Linked DNA regions of Arabidopsis thaliana. The protein of the gene in region 1 interacts with the protein of each later gene in a pairwise test. Each region holds a gene or a part of one and is shown on either strand. Other genes may lie near its edges.

What was found.
Region 2: the proteins of TCP17 (region 1) and GAI interact in binary tests that used the Arabidopsis thaliana proteins (3 or more experiments, as listed by UniProt).
Region 3: the proteins of TCP17 (region 1) and HDG2 interact in binary tests that used the Arabidopsis thaliana proteins (3 or more experiments, as listed by UniProt).
Region 4: the proteins of TCP17 (region 1) and KNAT1 interact in binary tests that used the Arabidopsis thaliana proteins (3 or more experiments, as listed by UniProt).

What each region holds. Positions count from the first base shown.
Region 1 is NC_003076.8:2,582,464-2,586,549, reverse strand, and holds TCP17 (TCP domain protein 17), read right to left. Parts: upstream 2,193-4,086; 5' UTR 2,029-2,192; intron 1,679-2,028; 5' UTR 1,666-1,678; coding exon 937-1,665; 3' UTR 515-936; downstream 1-514. UniProt on the Arabidopsis thaliana protein: Plays a pivotal role in the control of morphogenesis of shoot organs by negatively regulating the expression of boundary-specific genes such as CUC genes, probably through the induction of miRNA (e.g. miR164). Participates in ovule development.
Region 2 is NC_003070.9:5,147,141-5,151,961, reverse strand, and holds GAI (GRAS family transcription factor family protein), read right to left. Parts: upstream 2,981-4,821; 5' UTR 2,549-2,980; coding exon 947-2,548; 3' UTR 547-946; downstream 1-546. UniProt on the Arabidopsis thaliana protein: Transcriptional regulator that acts as a repressor of the gibberellin (GA) signaling pathway. Transcription coactivator of the zinc finger transcription factors GAF1/IDD2 and ENY/IDD1 in regulation of gibberellin homeostasis and signaling.
Region 3 is NC_003070.9:1,512,882-1,520,920, forward strand, and holds HDG2 (homeodomain GLABROUS 2), read right to left. Parts: upstream 6,020-8,039; 5' UTR 5,689-6,019; intron 5,346-5,688; 5' UTR 5,300-5,345; exon of another isoform or gene 4,177-5,299; 5' UTR 4,144-4,176; coding exon 3,902-4,143; intron 3,824-3,901; coding exon 3,706-3,823; intron 3,129-3,705; coding exon 2,940-3,128; intron 2,571-2,939; coding exon 2,157-2,570; intron 2,083-2,156; coding exon 1,981-2,082; intron 1,910-1,980; coding exon 1,709-1,909; intron 1,682-1,708; exon of another isoform or gene 1,644-1,681; coding exon 1,469-1,643; exon of another isoform or gene 1,385-1,468; coding exon 1,113-1,384; exon of another isoform or gene 1,040-1,112; coding exon 944-1,039; coding exon of another isoform or gene 923-943; exon of another isoform or gene 864-922; coding exon 507-863; 3' UTR 493-506; exon of another isoform or gene 419-492; intron 413-418; 3' UTR 20-412; downstream 1-19. UniProt on the Arabidopsis thaliana protein: Probable transcription factor. Involved, together with PDF2, in the regulation of flower organs development by promoting the expression of APETALA 3 (AP3) in the epidermis and internal cell layers of developing flowers.
Region 4 is NC_003075.7:5,147,153-5,152,929, reverse strand, and holds KNAT1 (homeobox knotted-like protein), read left to right. Parts: upstream 1-1,770; 5' UTR 1,771-2,319; coding exon 2,320-2,787; intron 2,788-2,898; coding exon 2,899-3,024; intron 3,025-3,128; coding exon 3,129-3,267; intron 3,268-3,814; coding exon 3,815-4,071; intron 4,072-4,754; coding exon 4,755-4,961; 3' UTR 4,962-5,231; downstream 5,232-5,777. UniProt on the Arabidopsis thaliana protein: May play a role in meristem function, and may be involved in maintaining cells in an undifferentiated, meristematic state, and its expression disappears at the same time the shoot apex undergoes the transition from vegetative to reproductive development.

The DNA.
Region 1 (4,086 bases):
TAATAGAAAGTGAAAAGAGGATCGACAAAAGAGAAAAGAAAAAAAGAAGAATAATTAAAAGAAGATATATAGGGATCAGTGCTTGACTTGACTGCAGATTCAGTTGCTGTCTTAACTGCCTCATCTTCTTCTCATTTTCCTTCTCTCATTCGCCAATCCCAATAAGGCAATACTCATCACCTAAATCTATCTCTATATAGCTAGTTGTTGGTTGGAGTATATGATTCTACTCACTTTACATTAATCCAATTACCGGAAAGCTGCTACAACAAATCATATACCTATATATGAATATTCAGGATAAAACGTTTTAGTTGTCGTAAATCCTTCCAATAGGTTCAATAATGCTTTTGCGGCATATTTGGTTTCGGAAATGTAAGAAAATAAATATTCGGTTCGATTAGTTTACATGTTAAGCCCAAAATATATACATACAACGTATATTTGTGTCATTGTGTGTATGAGTGTGTTTATTTCTATTTGTAGATGATATCATATGTGTTGTGTTCCTTGTATACTACACATGCATGTGGTTGTGGACATATGAGTACAAGCTAGGGTTTGGCGTGCAATGAGGCCTGTGTTATAGCATATTTAGGCACTACAAACTTTACATACAAATGTGAAAAGTTTGTATGAGAGATATTATTTATATTGATTGTAGCGGTACAATGAATTAGATATTCTACCAACTCAATCACAACATGAATTATGAATATGTACCTTTGCTCGCATCAGATTTGGCGTCTATTATATAATCTTTAATAAGACTGTCTACTATAAATACACGCATGTGACGATTAATCAATCCAACAATAACCATTAAACCATATAAATCTCCCTCTCTCTATGTACATATAGTAAATGCCTTACATGTCACATGACTTGAATTCTTCAACTTGTTAAAGATCGTCTAAAAATAATCTGCAGCTGGAACTACTCGATATGGTCTGGTTGTGAGCTTGTGCTACTAAAGAGTTGAAGTTGACCACCACCGAGAAACGAAGGGTACCTTGTTGGGAATAGAGAACTCATAGTTTCCGCCGCCGGAGGATTGAGATTATTATTATTATAGTTATTAGAAAATGCGACAGTGACGTTACCAGATTGGTCTAGTAGTGACTGTTGGAGATGTCCAAGGTTGTAGTGATAAGAGCTGCTAGACGAAGTAATTGTAGGGAAATAAAGCTTGTTGCTCTGGATTGAATTCGAGAAATGGTTGTGATGATCGATGTGATCAAACACATGATCAAGATTAACCCATTTCCTTTTCTCAAGATCCAAAGCTTCTCTCTGTGTTCTTCCAAGATCGAAGACCCCGGGAAAAGATTCTCCAAGGCCGGTGAGATTAGGGTTAAGTTGGTGAAAACCAGGTGGGAATTGCAAAGGAGGAAGCAAATCGACGTCGTTTTTGGCAACTTCTAAGAGCCAATCAATGACTTTGCTAGGCTGACTCAGCCCTAATCGTTCTTGAAGGTCGTAGACTTGGATCGCTGTCATCACCGACAACCTTATCCTCCTGTCTCGGAGACCACGAACTGTGCACACTTTGCTGTGTCTATCTTTGCCTCCAAATGCTCGGGAGACTCGCACGATCCTCGGATTATTCCATCGTTGCGTCAACAAGGACAAGGAACTTTTCTGATCTTCTTTTTTTATTCCCATGTCCTCTGTCGATCTAAAAAACAAAAAACAGATGAACAAAATCAATATTGTCATCACAAAGTGTTCAAATTCGGAATGTTTGTGGATTTTTGGGAAGCGTGATCACTTTAATTAGATGAAAGCAACTTCAATAGAGTAAATAACAAAAACCTATTAAGATCAAGAAAACGTATATTACTCGAACTGCATATTAATTTAATTTACTAGATATTTTGTGTATATATACTTAAAAAAGATCAAAGGAAAGTGATTCTCAAATCGAAATAGATTACAATTGAATCAATAGGAAGATCTGAGGATCCAAAGAGGAAAACAAAGGTTTCAAATTATATTACTGCAAGAAAAAAAGATGATTAATCTTACACAGAAAAACTGGTAAGCTTGACGAAGTCGTTGGGTTTAGACAGATCGAGTGAGTTCTTTGTCACGTAGGTTGAGGAAAATGATAAGAACCGAGATGATGAACAGTTATAATTTATTCTCTCTCGTTATCTAAAACTAAAAGTGTATAATATAACATATGGTTGAGGCTGAGCAAGAAATGATATCTATATATATATACGCTCCAATCCCTAGGGTTTTAGTTAGGTATAAAGAGCAATTTGTGTAGTGTGTAGACTATAGACACTCTTATCCACATGTTTTCTGACGGAAAGAAAGATGCTATGATTTTCATTAATCACCCATACTAATAGTAGATAATAAATAAAAACATATACATACACTGATACACATATACATAATCAAAATGTGTACACATGTATCTACTTACTTAGAGATCATTCTTTAGAATGTCTAGTCCTGAATCTTGATGATGCATACGATCATTCTTAACGATATCTTTGACTCCATTCAATAGAAAATACTAATGTAAGAAAATTACATTTTCATTACACACTACATATGGATCTTTTGCTATATATCATTCGAAACAATAGTTCAAAATTACTGAGAACCAACTTATACATTACATTTGGTATAGGGCAAATTCCATTATATATAGTATGTGATGTGCATCAGTAAATGTTAAGACCCAAAACTTTTAAAAATTAGGGGTTTCCTTTCGATTTTCTTCGTGAGATGATCCCAATTGAGCTCCATAATACTGTACATATTATAGTAGGCAAATAGATTGACAGCTAAAATGGTTGGTCTTAGATGGAGGATGGACCAAATTAAAGAGTACATGTTTTTTTTTGTTAAAATAAAGCATCTTAGATATGTAATATGCTTATATACAGATTCATGGTGGACCACTATATAATTTGCATGGCAGTGAGATATCTAGTTCATTCTTTTAAGCATTATTTATATACACTGTCAGGATATCACAATAACAGAATTTCATATAACAAAAATATAATTATTAAATTTCATAAGAATTCTTGTAATTCAATAACAATGACATTGGGGTTTTATATCAATGAGTGAATTCTTGCCATACTGCCAAATTTCACTATATATCTTATAATAAACTGTTTTACTTTTCTTTTAAACGTTTCACAATTTATGACTAATTATTAGCTGCTTGTATACAATGTGTATAAGTAGACCTCTGCGTATGTGTATCAGAGAATCAGAGATTGAGAAGTTTCTCTAGTTGGGACCTAAGGTCGGCTGAAGTAGATAACGATGATTGGACTTCAGTTTCAAAAATTTATTAGCCTTTAGTGCGTTGGATTATGTAATCTTCAAGACGATTGAAGCATATACAAGAAAATAGTTTTAACCTTTTTTCCTAGAAATTTGTTAAGTATGAACGATTCCAATTTCATAGAGGTCAAATACATTACATACTAGCGGTAGATCACATACTAGTGATGGCGGTTAAAAACGAACCTTTAATTCGGTTACCAATATTGAATTGGATACTTGGACTTGAAATAAGCGGTTAGAAGCTCAAACGAATGATTTCAAACTGATTTGTCCTAAAACCACAATCAATTTCAAGTAAACCCTGCTTATCTTTTACCACTGCAAACCGGACCATATTCTCTGATCGCTAGAGAATCTTATTAAGTTTGGTCACACAACCTAGCTGTAACCACAATGAGTGCAAAACGGTAACCACAATGAGTGCAAAACGGTAACACAGAGTGCAATTGAAACGCTCATGTGTCCCAGTTTAGACCAAAAGTTGGAATACGTGCATATGATGACGTATGCATGTCACTTACACACAGACACATTTTGGACCCAAATTCCTGAGCCGTCGTTCTCGGTCTGTACGGCAGTAAATGCAAAAGGCTCATGCCGAGAGAGAGAAATAGTGACATGTCCTTGCAAGAGACAGGAGCAAAAGGTGAAAGAAACAGTAGTTTGGGGTAAAATTCATAAAAACACAAATTGATGGAGACATAGTGTTTCTGCTTCTTCTCCTTCTTCTTAGTCACTGATGCAGAGAAGAAAGGTAGTCACTGA
Region 2 (4,821 bases), on another chromosome or scaffold:
CCACCTCAAAGTTGCTATCTTTTTTTCTGAACCATTTCTACTTGTTTTGGGATTTTTACTAAGGCCCATTAGCACTTATTCGGCCCATATATGTGGGGTAGCAAAAGTTGACTATAATCAACCATCAAACCGCCCTCGTGCCCTTTTTATACATCACAAAGGATCAAATGTCACAGTCACTCAACTATATAATACCAAAGGGTCACGAGTGAAGTCTAGTCTACTACCACCACTGTCGAATGTTTTTTTATCTCTTAAACAAGTTCGTAAACCAACTTCAATTGCTGTCAAAAAAAAAAAAAAAAAACTTCAGTCTTTTATTTACGAAGAACATCAACATCTCCCATTTTTACATATGTGGAATTATTTATGTGCAGTTGATGTTGAACAATATAATCCGCCTACTCTTTTTTTTTTTTAGGTGACATATATAATCGCCTACTATATCTTTCAGATACATGTATTAAAGGTGGACATTTGTATCTTTTCGGTTTCTTTTGTTTACTTTTCTTCTTTCAAATTAACAAATAAGAAAACTGAAAACGACTTAGCATTGTTAAAATAATCTGGTCCACCTATAATACCATGCACATTAAAAGAGCATATTCATGAGAATCAGCACATTATCATAAGAGACAGTTTAATCAGGCTCATTAGTCATTACAATGAATTTTATAGATGGTGACACTCAAGATGATTTTATTTCAACCAATTGCACATACTTGGTAACACATACTTCTATTTCTGCCTATCCAATTTACCCTCCAATGTCACATGCAAAAAAAAAAAACTCTCCAAAGCGAGATTAAAATTTTTCAATTACCTAATATAATGAAAGATAAGATCTTAACAAGTGACAAAGGGAAAAACAGTAGGATTTAGTTTGGCTTCGGTCGGAAATCTATCATCATAACCGGTTCAACAGATCAATTCATTGAGCCACCATCTAATTGGTGGAGAGTTTCCAAGCCGAGGTGGCTATGAGCGGTCGTGTGTGCCAACCCAACATGAGACAGCCGTCACTCTCCTCCACCCGATAACCCTCACCGCCGTTGAACAGAGCCAAAAGCATACTCGCTTGCTTAAACGCATTCGAACCAATATGTGCAGCCGCAAACCCAGCAGACCCGAACCGGTTCCTCCACTGACTCAACGTTTCATGACGCTCAACTCGGTCAGGTCCATCACAAGCCACAACGTTGCAGATCTGTTTACCCAAGTAAACCTCCGACATGACCTTGTCTTGACCACTCGGTACACCTTCCAACGAGTCAAACAACGTCGAGTAATAATGCAACGACTCAGTAAACCGATCTAAGAAAATCGGACTATTATGGTTCGATTCCTGCTCAACCACAGTGAAAATCTCCGGTTTAATCTGATTCACCACACCAAGAACCTTATCGATCGCACCAGGTCGTCCCAAGAGCTTGTGAAGCTCGAAAACAGAGTTAACCGCAACAGATTCAATCTCACTTGGTCTAAGCTCAAGCATCGAAGCATCAAGATCAGCTAAAGTGTTAGCCACAAATCCTCTGTACTCAAACTCAACGTGAATCGCCTCAGCTAAATGAGCCAGCTTACACCCAACTTCATGAAGATAATCGAAATTATCCGGTGCCGGTGGACCAATTCCGGTTAACCGGAAAACAGGAGGACCACCAGGTCGAAGCGCAAGAGCCTGCATAAGCGCCGGCCATTGAAGACCTTGACTCATAGAGAAATCAATGACATGAACTCTTTTCTTCCCTTGAAAAGCTTCGAGAATCGCTTGATTCGCCGTGAAGTGAGCGAACTTGAGATAAGGACAAGTCTCGTAGAAGTGCATCTGAAGAGTATCGGAGAGAGAGTGGTCGATTGGACTCTGCGACGGAGAGAGACGGTAAATCCGCCGCGCGAGAGCTTCGGCGAAGTAAGTAGCGACTTTTCTCATCGCTCCGATTTGAGAAACGGCTAAGAATCCGATTTGCTTCACCAGAGCTTCCGCTACAGTCAGATTCTCTTTCTGAACAGCTTCAGCGCAAGCCAAAAGCGCGTGAACGAGACGCACACCGTTCTCCTGCGAGTCAACCAGGACAACATGCCGAGTTGACTCAGCCGTCGCTGTAGTGGTTTCCACGACGCCGTTTGAGCATTTCAACCGCTTGTTTGTAGTATACGTATCTCCTCCGCCGCCTTGGTTAGACGAAGAAGCCGAATCGATAGCGAACTGATTGAGAATCGCGTCACCGGGAATAGCTTTAAGATCGTACTCGGCGTTAGACGACGGAGGATTAAGGTCGGTGAGCATAGAATCAAGCCACGTGTAAAGCTCCGCCGGATTATAGTGAACAGTCTCAGTAGCGAGTTGAGAAAGATCGTCTTCTTGAACATTAGACATCATAACTTCAAGCTGCTCGAGTTTCTGAGCAACATCAGCCATTTCGGATGACCTAACCTTGTAACCAAGAACAGCTAGAAGCTCATCCATGCCGTTACCGTCGTCTTCTTCATTCATCATCATAGTCTTCTTATCTTGATGATGATGATGATGATGATCTCTCTTCATGGTTGGTTTTTTTTCAGAGATGGATCTAAAAGGTTTTTCCTTCAATGTCGGATCTAGGTTTTGCTTTATTTGGGAAGGTGAAGAATCTTTAGCTTCGGGGATCGGTTAGGACTGCTTAGGATTTGTTTTTTCACTCCACTACCACTTCTAATAACAAAATAAATTGTAAAAATAGAGAGGAAGGTTATAAGAAAAAAAATGATTATTATTGTTGAGAATAAAAAGGCTCGTGATGGGGCTCGATGTCCGATGAATCATGGATCAGAGGGCTAACAGCAACATCTACAGCTCAAAGAGATAAGGCTGAAAATCACACACACACCAAAATTTGTAATTAGGGAATATATTGAAATTAATAAACTAATATATTAGGGAATATATAGCTTTTTACAGATTAATATTTTCTAAAGTTAGTATTACTTTAGAGTTTAGATGGTCATACAATTTTGAACAACTAAAAAGATTGTCATGCAACTAGTGGTACAATTTACTTTTTGTCGCTTTTTTAAGGAGTTTGTTGTGTTGGTTTTGTGTGATTGTAACTTTTGATCTAAAATACAGATATTTTTTATTAAAAAGTTTAAGTATTTAGTATAGTCTTATTAAATAAAATGGAACTTTTGTATTGGGAAAAGTAAACCATCATTAAACCCATTATGGAAATTAATATTCCATTTTATTAAAAAGAGATTGAGGGACTATGACGTTTTCCCGTTTTAGTTTTAAATTGTTAAAAAATTTAAATTGAATATAAGAAAAAGCTCCTTTTCTAACATTTTTTATAAGATCTTTAAAAAAAAAATTAAACCTTATTAGTATTTATCTGTAAGAGTGGATAAGAACTAGTAACATTTTCATTAATTACAAAAGACTTTTATATTTGTTCTTTGGATGGGGAACTAAAAGCTTTCATCATACTGTTTGAGTGCCCTAGCCTTCCCCTTTGTAATAATGTAGGCATGTTTCGAGCAAGGGGGTAGAAAAGTAAACTGCAGTATATATAAACCCATTTCAAAATAACAGTAATTATCAAATAGTAGCATTCAGTCTTTACACTTAAATAGCATTCACTATTTTGTCAATTACATGTTACGATAGAGTTAAGTTGTAATCGTTTCTTTTTAAAGTATAGTCTCGATTTTTTTTGCTATTTGTAGATAAAATTGGTTAATACAATTGTAGTATGTACTTAACGCCGTCGCTTACGGCAACTATTCTTAAATCATAATAAGATTACACAGATCAGAAAATAACAATTAGTCCCACTAATTAATGTCTTACAAAAATATTCGAAATTATTTTCGTGAAAATCAGAACTGACAACATGTGATTGGGTCCACGTGTAAAACGGGTCCCTTGAACTTACCGTACGCCATTTAGACTGTGGTCCCAAAGATCCCATGTGATTATTACACGTCTCTAAAGTATTTTTATACGCTAGGCCCTGATGAGAATTGAGATGACCATTCCCACCGTTGACGGCTCTTCGTATGGACCATCTCAATTAACGCTGTGCTACATGGTTGGTTACATGTTCTTGTGTTCCACGAATAATTATGCTCCGTTACATCATTTTCTCACAAAAAAAAAAAAACTGTTTATATTTTTAGCCACTTCACAAAAATTTATCAGATGGTATAATGGATCATTTCAATGTATATATACTATTACTTACGGAGTATAGAGTGACGTCGATAGTATTGGATTAAACATGCACCATGTCAATGTGTAATGTGTTACAAATTCGGTAGGTATAATTATTAATTTACTAGCAAAGAGAAAAAGACATCCAAAGTTTTTTACTTTGATTGGTTATCGTCATACTTGATATCAAGTGCTCTCGTTGATTAACCAAAAAAATTAAAGGTGCACTCATTGATTCCTTTATTTATTTTTTATAGTAGTAGAAGCTAACAAATGAAAATGGTGTCACATCATTCGTAATGAATATTTAGTCTGCTTTTTAGTCCAAACATTATTTTTTCTAAAGAAGTAATACAAGTCGTGATATATGTTAATTACATAAACAAGCCAATTTTAAACAAGTAAAATTGGATTACTGAATTCTTGAAATACTAGGCATTTTTGGAACAAAAAAAAAAAGGAAGAATAACTTGGGTTTACAAGATTGTTTGAGTCTTTTTGAAATAGTGAAAAAAGTGTCTCTTAACAAATTTCAATGATAGAGAACCATGCATACGCATCGGCACAAAATAGATGGACCAAAAAATGTGAATTGTCAAAATCTGATATGAGGTGGCAGATGGACCAAT
Region 3 (8,039 bases), on another chromosome or scaffold:
GACAAACTCACATAAGCTTACAAAAGTACCAAAATACTTGTATAAGATATTTATACAAAAGAAAGACAAACTCCAAATTCCTGATGATGGTCCATCTAACCACAAGAAGGAAAGAAAAACAGTAACTGTAACACAAAAAGAAATCCGAAAGCATTCTTTCTAACCTAGTTTTTGTTTTTGTCTAATTCAGTATGTGACAGGGGAAGTCAAATTCCCGAACCTCGTAAAACCATCTACATATTCACTTTCAAGTAAAAAGTTTTTCACTGCTTAGTTTCATCAAATAAGCAGACCAAAACTTAACACTAACAAACACTCAATGGTATTCTCTTGTGAGGTTCGATCTTGACTCCTCCGCTTTTCTCAAACTGAAATCTCTCTCTTTTTTCCATCATCACCATTTTGTTATTTCCTGCAGAAAGAAGAAGAAAAATATGATTACATCATATAATGGCGTAAAAGCGAGAAGAATATATTTAGTGAAAGTAGTACCTAATGGATGGTTTTCAAGCAGTCTCACAAGACATTGAAGCTTTGATTCTCTCAACAGTGCAAGCTATTAGATTGTTGACAGTTGCAACAGAGCCAAGAGACAGCTTAGCCGTAGGAACTGAGTCAACCAGAATCTGAAAAGCAACAGTCAAGAGCGACCCTCCATCTCCTCCAGGGGCTCCACTATTGGCATTACCATCAGGAAGAATAGCAAAACCTGATGGAAGCAGAGCCACATAGTCTGGATCACCTCCATTAAGCACTATGTTCATAGCTACAATATCGACTGGAGCATAGATCACAAAGGAAGCTGTAGGATCAGTGCAGCTCTCTTGTAGGATCAGCATATTGCTCTGGCTAGAGTTTGCACTCTGTGACATAAAGAAAGATTGAAAACTCTTAGCTAGGATCAGATGATTATAACAATAGTTCAAAACCCGGTGTAACTCACATTTACCCGAAGAAGAGAAACACAGTTTCCGGTATCCCTCCCGTTAGCAATATGTGCCATTTCTTGCACAACTCCTCCATTAGACAGAATATCCCACTGCAAAATCTCACAAAAACATCAAAACTCTGTCCAAAACAGAACAAGAGAGCGTAGTAACTAAAATAGTTACCTCATTTCTTGAATTCTCGTCTCTGAGGAAGTCAAAGACTCGCTTTGGAGGAACAGGGATCCAAAAAGAAGTGGCTGCACTAAGAACAATACCAGGAGGCCTTCCTGGATCATCCACACTCTTCCTAGTCATCACTCTAACATCTTCAGCTCCTGTACCGGACAATGTAGTCCACGTGTGAGCGGTTGAAGCACTCACTCCTGCACAAAAGCTTATAACCATCCGCTCTGCCAATTTCAGCATACTCCTCCTCCCTTCTTGGTTGGTTATCACTGCATATTCATTAATATAGAACTGTGATTCTGACTCTGACTCTGATTATGAAAACTGTTTATGAAACAAACAGTAGGTTATACCGCCAACTTCTCCAGAGGAAATGTTTGTAGCCATGACACTAGCTAACCGCTCGCATTGGCGGTCAAGAATGGCTACCCAGCGTTTAGCACCAAAGGCATGACCAGTACTAACCATGTGTTTGTATAAGTTATGAACTCCTCTGTCATCAACTTCCACATGCTCCACCCAAGTCACCTGTTACATTAATTCTCTCTACTTAAGTAAACATTTTGTATAACCTAATGTTTTTATTATATTACCTTAGAATATCCATTTGGCAATTCTTGAATCAAACATCCTGAAGCTCGCCGCCTGCATCTAGCCGGGGGATTTGGTTGGAGACTATCCAACGAAATATCGACAACCGCCCACGAACCATCTCCTTGTTGTTTACAGTAACGTGCGAAATAGGTTTCACGTGTTGGGACTAATGGAGATGGAACTTGAAACTCTGCACTCATCTGCAAGCAAAACAGAGTGGTTATTTCAGTTTGAAATTTAATTTTTACAGAATAAAAGCAAAAAAAATTACCACTTGAAGAGCTCCATTATAGTTTCCTGCAACTCCTGTCGATAAAACCGCTAATGTCATTGCTCTAGAAACCATCCCCGCGAAAATCGTCGACCATTGATTCTGCAACATCATATCAATGTTGTTGAAACTAAACAGAGAAGATTGCTTTTAAGTAAAATGAAAATGTTAATTACCACATCCATGAGAATCTCAACGATGTTAACATGATTCATGATCACAACCGCGCTTTCTCGCGAAGCTTCTGATCTATATCCAGCCGGTCTAGGTCCGATCCCTCTAGGAAAGGTCCTTGCATATTCTTCTTCGTCTAAAACCAAACTCTTCCACAGAGGCTCGTCTACTTGAACCATCCTCATGAGCTCTTCCATTGCAGCCACGGATAAGTCGATGATGACAGGTTTGTCAGATTCTGTTGGTGCAGTGATGGACTTAAGGAGATCGTTTGGATTGTTTCCATAAGCTTCTCCTCCAATATTTCCCATGGCGAGTTCTAGTGGACGTGGAGGAAGAGGAGGAGGAGACATAAGTGGATAGTTTGAGACTGGCTTGCCTACGTATTTAGCTGCGATTGCGGATATACGGTCGATCTAAAACAGACAAATAAGAAAGATTATTGATCCTTGTGGTTTTCAAAGTTTGGTCACAAGAAGAAACGTTGAGTAATGTTGTTATTATGTACTACTACTCCTTACAGTTCCAAAAATATCGTTTTAGTATCTCAATTTAATATCATAATTTTTTCTATTCTTCAATGAAAAAAAAATGTTTAAATTCTCTAATTTCAATACAAATCTATAAAAGTTTTTATTTTATGAAGAAAGAAATGATTATTGTGAAAGCGATATAACATTAGTGGTATAAAAACAAATTCTAATTTTTTATTTTATCTTCTTGACAACATTTAAGTGTAAAACTCTTAACATTATTTGAACATTTAAAATAGTTGATTCTCATACCTCTTCCCTTAATCGAGCATTTTCGAGACGGAGTTGGTGTTCGTCGAATGACATTTCTCCGATAGCTGTTGGACCACCACAATTAGGACACGAAGCATTTGCAAGAGCCTCTCGATATCTTAGGTTGTCGTTTCGAAGCTTTTCGTTCTCCGCCCGAAGATGTGAGTTCTCATGCCGCTCGTGATGATTCTGCGCAAATAAAACTTATATTCCGGTTATCTCTAAAGTTTTATACAAGTGATTTATTTCTAATTTGGGTAAAACGAAGGAACAAAGGATTTTACTTAAAAAGAGGAAAAGTGTATGTTTCAAATAAAACACTCGTGTACACGTTATGTGTTTCACCGTATTTGCATAACGTAAGCATATGTGTCCAAAACGTTTCAATCTATAGATTATATATGGCTCTAACTAAGATAATAAATAGGCAATGTTGTTACAACCAAACAATTTTCTATAGCTTGATCCGCCAAATATATAGTTCTGCCAAAGGAACAACTTTTCAATTGAAAAAAAAAATAAGTAAGAAATTTTAAGTCAAAGTGTCTCAACTAGATCTAAAATCTGCCAAAAGTCAATGAATTCATTCTGAAAGAAAACACCAGCCACCCAAAATGTTCTTAAGTATAAAGATAAGCCCTTCAATGTATATATACAAGACTTAATATGAATGAAATAACAATTTAATTAACAAGTATATATATTTTCTCTAATATATATAGATCCATTAACTAATGTATATATGTTCATAATATAAAAAGTATACCTTCATTTGGGTACGTTTGTTTTGGAACCAGAATTTGACCTGAAGAGGTTCCAAATTCAATTCACGGCTTAGCTGTTTCCTTTGCTTGTCATCTGGGTGAGGACACTCTTTGAAGAACCTATTTAACAACCAAAACAAAAGAATTGTCAAAAAACACACAAGAAAATTGAAGTAAGTGAGTAAGTTAAACACATACGCTTCCATCTCCTGGATCTGAAGTTGGGTGTGTCGATGATATCGTTTCTTCTTGTTAGGATGAAGAGGATCTTGGTCGTTTCCTGATCCTCCTTCTTGATTCTCACTTCCCGATTTAGTATTCGGACTGTCGAATTCATCGTCCCGAAGAAATCCTTCATTATTGTTGTCTTCATGGTTGTAGTTGTGGTTATTGCTGTCTGCGTTGTTCATAGCCGCAAGCAGCATATTTGGCTCGAACATCTTTTCTTATACTCCGGAAACTGAAAGCAAACCCTAGAAGCAAAAAAAAGTAGAGAGTTTTGTCAAAATTTAGGGTTTGAAGAAGAAGGGAAATTTCTTCGAGGCTGGAAAAATATGGCAATACTTTTGTCCACGTCAACAACTTTACAACCTTCTTTTTGTATGAACAACAATAACTTAAATCTTTCTTCGGAGTCGTTTATCTTTCTTCTTGAAGATCATACAAAATGATATAAGCAAACAGAAGAATTGGAGATGATTGTAGGAAACAAAGGACCCACTAATTGAAAGCAAGAAAAAAGAGCCTTGCATAAAAAAGACATCACAATCACAAATTAATTTGTTATTGAATAACCAACCCAAAAATAATGAATTTTCACATACTCAAAATTATTCGAAACTACCGATTTTTTACCCTTTTAAAAGAAAAGAAAAAAACTAATCAGCAGACTGAAATAAAAACTATGATTGATTCAAGAGTCATATCATATGTAGTGTAGATGGAAATCAATTGTTGTCCAAAGAAAAAACTTTAAAATTTCTACACTATAATAGCTTTGATGGATGGTGATTTAATTTAAAATTTCGAGGTATTTTGATCAGTTTTGATTTAGATGGGATAGGAAAGAGAAGACGAAAAGAGAAATGTTGGACTCATTTGTTCAAAGCAAATAAAATGGGAAAAAGTAGGTACAAATAAATTCCCAACTCTATCCTGTTTATTAAAAAAACAATATTTTCGTGAGAACAAAACAAAATTTAATTAAATATAATCATTAGTAGATTTTCAAAAAATAAAAACTCTTCAGGAAAAAGTGTAAACTACTATTTGGCGATTAAGAAAGAAAAAAAAATTGAAATGAAAAAAATAGTATTATATCTGTGCACCTGTGCGACGGACCAACATATAGTTATTATACAACTTACAACCAACGTGACATAAGGCCTGGGTGATGTATTAATTTTTTCCAGCTATTTCTTATCATCATCATCGTATTTAAACGTTTTTATTACACACATTAATATGTAAATGTATACTACTACTATAAAGTATATACACGTGTTTATATATAAAACCAAACGTATAATGAAAATAAGGATATACGAAGAGAATACAAACCTTTCTGTTTTTTTTGGTAGGCAAGGGAATACTAACCTTTAATCTTTCCTCTTTATTGTTTTCTTGAAGGTTTCATCTCTGACTATGCAGAAATTGATAAGATTATTTAAAGAAGAATACAATAAATCAGAAAGTCAGAAAGCAAATTAGGAGAGGAATGAAAGATATTAGAGGCAAGAAATCAATTAATTAATGCTAAAGAAGGCAAAATTTAAGACAAAATATAGATGACTAACTGAAAATTCAACATACAGGATATATTAAATTATAAAAAAAAAACATCATGAAAGTGAGAGTTTTATAAAGATGCTAAGAAAACTGAAGTGTAATGGATCCAATGATACTTTAAACAAATAAATTTGTGTACATGAATTAATGGATAAAATAAAGAAAACAGCAGAAATGATGAGGTTTTCGAGACATACACTGGGATATAGGAAGAAGCGACGAAACCCTAGAGGGAGAGAGAGAGAAGAGTAGAGCGGTGTCTGGTCTGAGATTTGTTTCTCGGAAAACCGCTGATGGTTTTGTGAAGCGCGGTTTTGTTGGCGAGCAAAAGGTTTGAAAGGTAGGTGCAAATCTTGGAGGAAGAGAGATGAGAGAGTAATGACAGAGAGAATTGAGAGGGTGCAATGAAATTAAATGGTGCGAGAGGGACACTTAATTATCCTACACGCTTATATATATATAGAGAGAGAGAGATATGTTACAATTTATTTTATTTATGTTACAAAATTATGTGTTGTTTTTCATCTTATATACAATGTCAACCTAAAATAATTTTATTTTTTATTTATTTAAAATATTATAATGTGGTGAGGAATGACGGCTAACGGTCTATGAGCCTATGAGACTTACATTTATCTATTAGATATGTAGTTATTTTTAAAAAATCATTAGCATTATTCATAACTTATGCATATGCAATAAATCACCACTTAACAAAATTAACTATATTAAAAAAAGATTTAACTATATTGAAATTTGCTTTAATACAGTTCTCCATTTACAGAAAAAGTTAGACAATAGTCCCCATTTGTCAAGGATACAATTTTAAAAGTAATTTTCTGAAATTTTAATACTCTTAGATTATTTATAATATGGAAAAAAATTATATAGTTTTTTAACTAAAATTCAATGACTTGTTATAGTTAATATTTATCTTTATGAGATATAAATTTAATTTTTACTTTCAAAAAATATGACTATTATATTTTTAACTATTTTATTTTATTATTATTTCATATCTTTGTTATAAATTTAATTGTAAAGAAGGAAAATTTCATGATTCTTCTTCCACATGGCATTTTCTTAAATATTATAGAAGTTTAGGTTGTATTATTGTTAGTCAGACAGAAGTTGATTGAGTGATGTATTTATTTTATTTCATTTAAAAGAAGAAAATCTAAAAATCATCACCTTAATTTTGAGTTTTGTTTACGAAACAATTGTTTTTTCAATTTAAGGAAGTCAATGAAATATCACTTTTTTCACAGTAAGACTTCATTTTACATGCCTAGAAATATTAATTACTTTGTGGCCCAAGCATTTATAACTATAACGTGCAATTAAGCTATTTAAAATACGGATCACCCATTAAAAAGGTGATAATTTGTAAAAGCCATGCATTCATCTTAATTTATCACGCGAATATATAGAGAAATATACTGCGTATTTAATTACCTAGTTCTTAAGCTTTGTTTTTTTTTTTAAAGTCCTTATAGCTATAGCTTTAACACTCAAGTTTTTCTTTTCAGTAAGTTTATACTTTACCTAGATTCTTTAAAATAACTATATATAAAAAAACAATAACCCAACTTATTTCTGATTTTTACTGTATATATGTAGGTACAGATATATAGATGGAGTTATACGTACGTACGTATGCGATAGGGTGGCGAATAGTTTCGACGCATTAAATGTGTACACAGAGGCTGCATGGGCTTTAGGCCATTTACTGCTCTCATGCCTCTCTTGCACTTTAACCTCCTCTTCCTTCTTCGTACTCTCCTACTAAAAAAAACTAGTAATTCAACGCCTAACATTTTAGTTTTTTCTTTTTTTTTTTTTTTTTTTTTTAGTTTTTTCTTTTTTCCTGCTACATCACTAAAAGTTAATTATTTCAAAAAAGAATTGCTACAATACTATTCACATTTTAAGTTTGTTTCATCCTCGTAAGTCTCAAATATTTATTTTTAGTTTATTTCTTTTTTTTGTCAAACTTTTAGTTTATTTCAATTAGTGTTTTTTCTGCCAATATGATCAAATCTGAGATTCAAAATGGAATTCTTCTGTTGAAAAAATGGATGCTTTTGTAATAAATTCAAGATCGTAGTTTTTTTTTGTTTCTGGGCTTCGTATATGGGCCATAAGACGGAAGTAAACTTTTGGCCCATTATATATTTTATCCCCAACGAGAATGGCAAGGCCGAAAGTCTCATTCTCCGAGAGTGGAAAGTTAGTTAAGGAAAATGATTGATTTTTTTGTTTTGTTTTGCATTAGTCTATAGGACGACTTGTTTCACAAGAAACTAGCCGTATATTGTAATATCCAATCACTGAATTGAGCAACTTGGATAGTTTACATTGAGAATGCAGGAACGTGGATTCCACAAACTATAACAGTTTATTATAGTTTTTAACTTTTGAGAGCTAAGGACTAATAAAAAAATTCCCCAAACTACATCTTCTCCAAAGTCAATAGCTTTTCAAAGCGCAAAAGATGATTTGAAGCTTTCTTAATCGTTGCATGATTTCGATTTCTTCTAATTGTGGA
Region 4 (5,777 bases), on another chromosome or scaffold:
AGTAGCTATGTTGTATTTAGAGATTAGTTTAATTAGTGTATCTCTTGAGTGTTTTATTGCAGGTTTAGATAACCTCATACAAGTCGTTACATAGTTATGAGTAAATGAGTTTATTAATAAATTTAGAGAACAATCTATGCCTACCGGTGAATTTTTATATAATAAATTGAATGTTTTATTTTATTGTTATAATTGACTTTCTAATCTAAAAGATAGAATTCTATGAAATTGTACACACTTTTGAAAACAATTTTTTTTTTAATAGAAAATTATAAGAAATTAGATCCATATGGTTATGGGTATTATAATATTTTTATTTATATATATATATATATATATATATATATATATTCTTCTTGCATGACCATATTAATGAGAATATTGGGATCAGAGACTTATTTATAGTGTGTTTTTAGTCTATTGCACTTGTGTTTTGGAATATTATGATATTTAATTCAAAGATGTACCCTTAATGAATGATCTTTTATGATGTCAATGTTTCAGCATCTTATACTGAAACAGAAAATAAGAGGAGGTCTTAAAGGAAAAGAAAACATTTCGAATGCAAAAATTTAACCTTTAACATTTTCGATTTTTTTTAATGAAATTCTAATAATATTGGTTCTAAGCAGCTGATTTTATTTTTTTAATAGTAAGAAATAATATATGTATACATATATATTTAAATATTTACTATCAAAATTTCCGGCATAGCAAGTCATAATTTGTAAGAAATCTTACATTTTGTTGTTTACAAACTCTCACAAGTCACAATGTAAGTTTCGGTCTAGTGCAGTGATGAGGTAAACAAAAAAAAAAATCTATCGATGAGCCAACTTTTTGATCTAGAGCCCTAGGATTTGACGATTTATATATAAATAAAACCCTAGGATTTTCGTTTCTTTTTGTATAAAAATGAATTCATAGGCACTCTATACGTCTCATGAATCATGAAATATAAATCGAGATTAAATAGAAAATTGAATGTTGACCGTGGAACAGAACAAGTGTTGAAAGAAGTGTGTTTGCAGCATGGTCTTATCATAGAGCCAATAGTTGGAAATTAGCAGAATATCGTATAATATCCACTATCCTGTAAAGCATTTTTATAATTCCTTTTTTTTTTCTCGGTTTCTAATGTAATCTTCTATCCGATAACAAATATTCGGATAGTGTGATCTCTCCACTAATATACATACGAAATTACGAAAACTAAAATTATAATTTCATCGATTTGATTAAACTCCAAAAACATCCAAGTCTTGCATCAAATATGTACATTTCTATCATATTGTTTATAATTCTTTTTTTGTTATCCGTAAGTTTTAGGCAGAAACCCGTACAGTGAAACCGAGGACCAGAACAAGATAAACGTAGTCCCCTCTCCTAAGTATAGAATTATAATGTGACACATGATCACAATTTGTTGAACGAACTCTATGTTCAACCACTAGACTACAAATTCTTGGGTTTATATCGTATTAGAAGTATATATAAATCATACATATTTTTTTTAAAACTTTTTTCTTGACTATTCTTTTAAGAAAAAAAAACATTTCATTACTAGAAAATAGTACAAAATATATCATTCAACCTAGCAAGAAACCATAGCCTGAAGTAGCCGCGAAGACCTAGTTGCTTAAACACTGAGTGGTTCATCTTAATTCGAATATTATAAACCACATTTTAATTAAGTAAATTACTTAGTCTTGTTCTAATGTATAAAATAGCCTATGAGAGGAAAACAGAAGAGAGAAGCCTTTGCCTTATCTCTTGTCCCTTCTCTCTTACCTTTATTTTAATTTTCAAATATTTCTTTTTGCTCCCAAAGCAAACGACGTCTTGTCAATCCACTCAAGCCACCCAACTTCTTCATTATTGTTAATCTCTCTCTCTCTCTCTTTCTCTCTTCTTCTCTCTTTCTCTTTTTTTTTTTTTTATTTTCTTCTCTTCCATGTCACTTCCTTGACGAATTCTATATACCTAGTTCGTTTTTTCTTCCTCAAATATATCTTTTTCAATTTATTTGGTTTTTCTTTGGGTGCAACTTCACCTCACAAAATTTTCTCTCTTTTTTTATATTAATTTGAGTTAGGCCTTTTTGATTTCATAGATGAGTCGTCTAGTCGTCTGGATTTGATGTGGTTATAGTCTTACAGAGACCTTTGATTGAAATAAGAACAAAAGCAAGAATACATACATCCTCTTCATCTTACACCCATCCTTTTTTATTTTTCTAGGGTTTTATTTTTTTTTAATTTATTTTTTTTCTTTGATTTTTATATTCTCTCTCTCTCTCAAATCTTTACTCATCTGGGTATGGAAGAATACCAGCATGACAACAGCACCACTCCTCAAAGAGTAAGTTTCTTGTACTCTCCAATCTCTTCTTCCAACAAAAACGATAACACAAGTGATACCAACAACAACAACAACAATAATAATAGTAGCAATTATGGTCCTGGTTACAATAATACTAACAACAACAATCATCACCACCAACACATGTTGTTTCCACATATGAGCTCTCTTCTCCCTCAAACAACCGAGAATTGCTTCCGATCTGATCATGATCAACCCAACAACAACAACAACCCATCTGTTAAATCTGAAGCTAGCTCCTCAAGAATCAATCATTACTCCATGTTAATGAGAGCCATCCACAATACTCAAGAAGCTAACAACAACAACAATGACAACGTAAGCGATGTTGAAGCCATGAAGGCTAAAATCATTGCTCATCCTCACTACTCTACCCTCCTACAAGCTTACTTGGACTGCCAAAAGGTTTGGTTTTATTCTTATTGTTATGTTATAATATATACTCTTTTTTTAAAGATATAATATATAGTTATGTGTGACATATATATGTATGTTCATGGGTCATGGTTTATATAGATTGGAGCTCCACCTGATGTGGTTGATAGAATTACGGCGGCACGGCAAGACTTTGAGGCTCGACAACAGCGGTCAACACCGTCTGTCTCTGCCTCCTCTAGAGACCCGGAGTTAGATCAATTCATGGTTCATTACTAACCAAAGTTGAATTTTAATTAAATGGGTCGGTTCTTTGTGTGTATATGTGTTAGAAGTCTTGATTTTCCTTTTTTATTTTTTGGTATGAATAGGAAGCATACTGTGACATGTTGGTTAAATATCGTGAGGAGCTAACAAGGCCCATTCAGGAAGCAATGGAGTTTATACGTCGTATTGAATCTCAGCTTAGCATGTTGTGTCAGAGTCCCATTCACATCCTCAACAATCCTGGTACATGTCATCAATCTCATATACATACATATATGCACATGTAAGAAATGGCTGGAGAAAACAAAGTGTAGTGGCAAGGTAGGGCTAATGATGGATTGCATAAATTGGCATGTTTCTTTGGTTCATGGTAAATTGTTGTAACATTGAGATATTAAAAAAAAAAAAAATCATAGTCTACATACATTTTCAAATGTTAATTAAGATTATAAGATAATTAAGATAATTGAGATGCATTATTGTTGGAAAGTATGTAAGATACAAATAGGTGTGCATATTTGTTCTTGTTTTCCCCATTGTGGAATCCATCCAAAGATGGGTGGGGCTTATTTTTGTTTTTTTTCTTTTCACTCGGCCCAAAAGTACTATCACAAGAACTTTTGGTGCTGCTCGTGAAGATTTATTTGGGACATTATCTTCTTCGATTTCGTTATGCTAAAACATCAAAATCTCTACTCGGATTAATTAGTCTAATCATAAAGGTAGATGACTAGAATGTTGTTAAATGACTAAACCATTTAACTTCATGAAATATATTATGTTGAAGCAGATGGGAAGAGTGACAATATGGGATCATCAGACGAAGAACAAGAGAATAACAGCGGAGGGGAAACAGAATTACCGGAAATAGACCCGAGGGCCGAAGATCGGGAACTCAAGAACCATTTGCTGAAGAAGTATAGTGGATACTTAAGCAGTTTGAAGCAAGAACTATCCAAGAAGAAAAAGAAAGGTAAACTTCCTAAAGAAGCACGGCAGAAGCTTCTCACGTGGTGGGAGTTGCATTACAAGTGGCCATATCCTTCTGTACGTATAAATTTTCTCTCATCTCTCTTTGCCCTCATATTTTTTAAAATATATACTACAAATTAAGTGTTTTAAAAACCTATCTTTAAGCTAGCAATTCCCTCTGAAGCCGCTATGTTAGGCCAAGTAGGTACTTGCATGACCGATTTTGTGTTTAAATCCTTGTACGGTTTCCAACAACATGGTTTTAAATCCGAATGCTCACAACACTAGAATTAGTCACTAGGATACATATCTTAGTCATGGTGTTCTAACCCTTAACATACTATTTTCTAACACGTATATCAATCACTTTTTTTTAAAAAATGTAAGTTTGTGATGAAATTTTTATCCATATATTTTGAAACAATTTAATTTTTTTTGTAGTTTTAATTAGTTTGAAATGAAATAACTAATCTAACCGACTGTAATGATAGTGAAAAAAACATGTTTAATATTGGTAAATATAAATGACATGTTGTTAAAAAGATAATAAGACAACATATAGTTAGTCGTTACTTGATGTCAAAGAAAAATGAAGTTAGTCATTTTACTTAGAGAATCGTTCAAAACAACAAACTTTAGGTCATTTTCCATTTTTATGTCTAGAATCATTTAAAAATAATTTTCGATTATCTCTAGCATTGCTTTTTATACATTGATTACTACATAAATGAAGATGGTTGGTTTGAGTTGTGTGGCAGGAGTCAGAGAAGGTAGCGTTGGCGGAATCAACGGGGTTAGATCAGAAACAAATCAACAATTGGTTCATAAACCAAAGAAAGCGTCACTGGAAACCATCTGAAGACATGCAGTTCATGGTGATGGATGGTCTGCAGCACCCGCACCACGCAGCTCTGTACATGGATGGTCATTACATGGGTGATGGACCTTATCGTCTCGGTCCATAAGACATCCAAAAGCTTTAGCCACATAATAACAACCTCTCGTTGCTTTCTTGTTACAACTCATGTTTTGAATTCCCCTACATCAGTTTGCTACTTATAGCTTTCTTTGTTTTCACGCCTTTTGTAATGTCTTATGTCGTTCGGGGAGTTTGAGACTTCCTAGTCAGAAATATCCCTTCATTTTATTTTCTCTTTTTTTCGGTGTATTTTGTTTTTTTGTTTTCTCACTAATGTTTTTATTTAATAATGTGTGAAAGGAAAATGCTATTCTGAAAAGGTGTTGCTCCATTTTTTTATTTTATATGGCATGAAATGTATGGTTTTGAAAGACAAAACCCAAATTGATCTAATGGATTCTTACATGCCTTTCCACAAGCTAAAACAAAATCCACAAAATGTAAAACATCGATAGTTGATAAGTCTCAAAACCATCTTTGCTTCGAACACGGTTTCAGGCATATATTATGACTTATGCGAAAGCATTACATCATAATACATAGGTCATGGAATCACTACCAGAAAAAAAAAAACTATTGTCGAAAGATTAAGTTAAAGATTCTCCCTTTGCACCCACTCGTCATCTGATGCGGACATCCAAATTAAACCAAACCGGGACCATACCAAATCAGCCGGTACATTTATCAAACCGATTGATGAAGAGCATTTTGGAGGACTCTTGCCCAATTGGAGTCTCAATCAAGCACAAGGCCTAGGGTTAATTATTCACCAGCAAATTAATTCTAAGAAGACTAATGATGATTCAAGAAGGGTCAAAGACCAGCGAGCCGAGTCACCATATTGTGGGGATATGACCGTTGC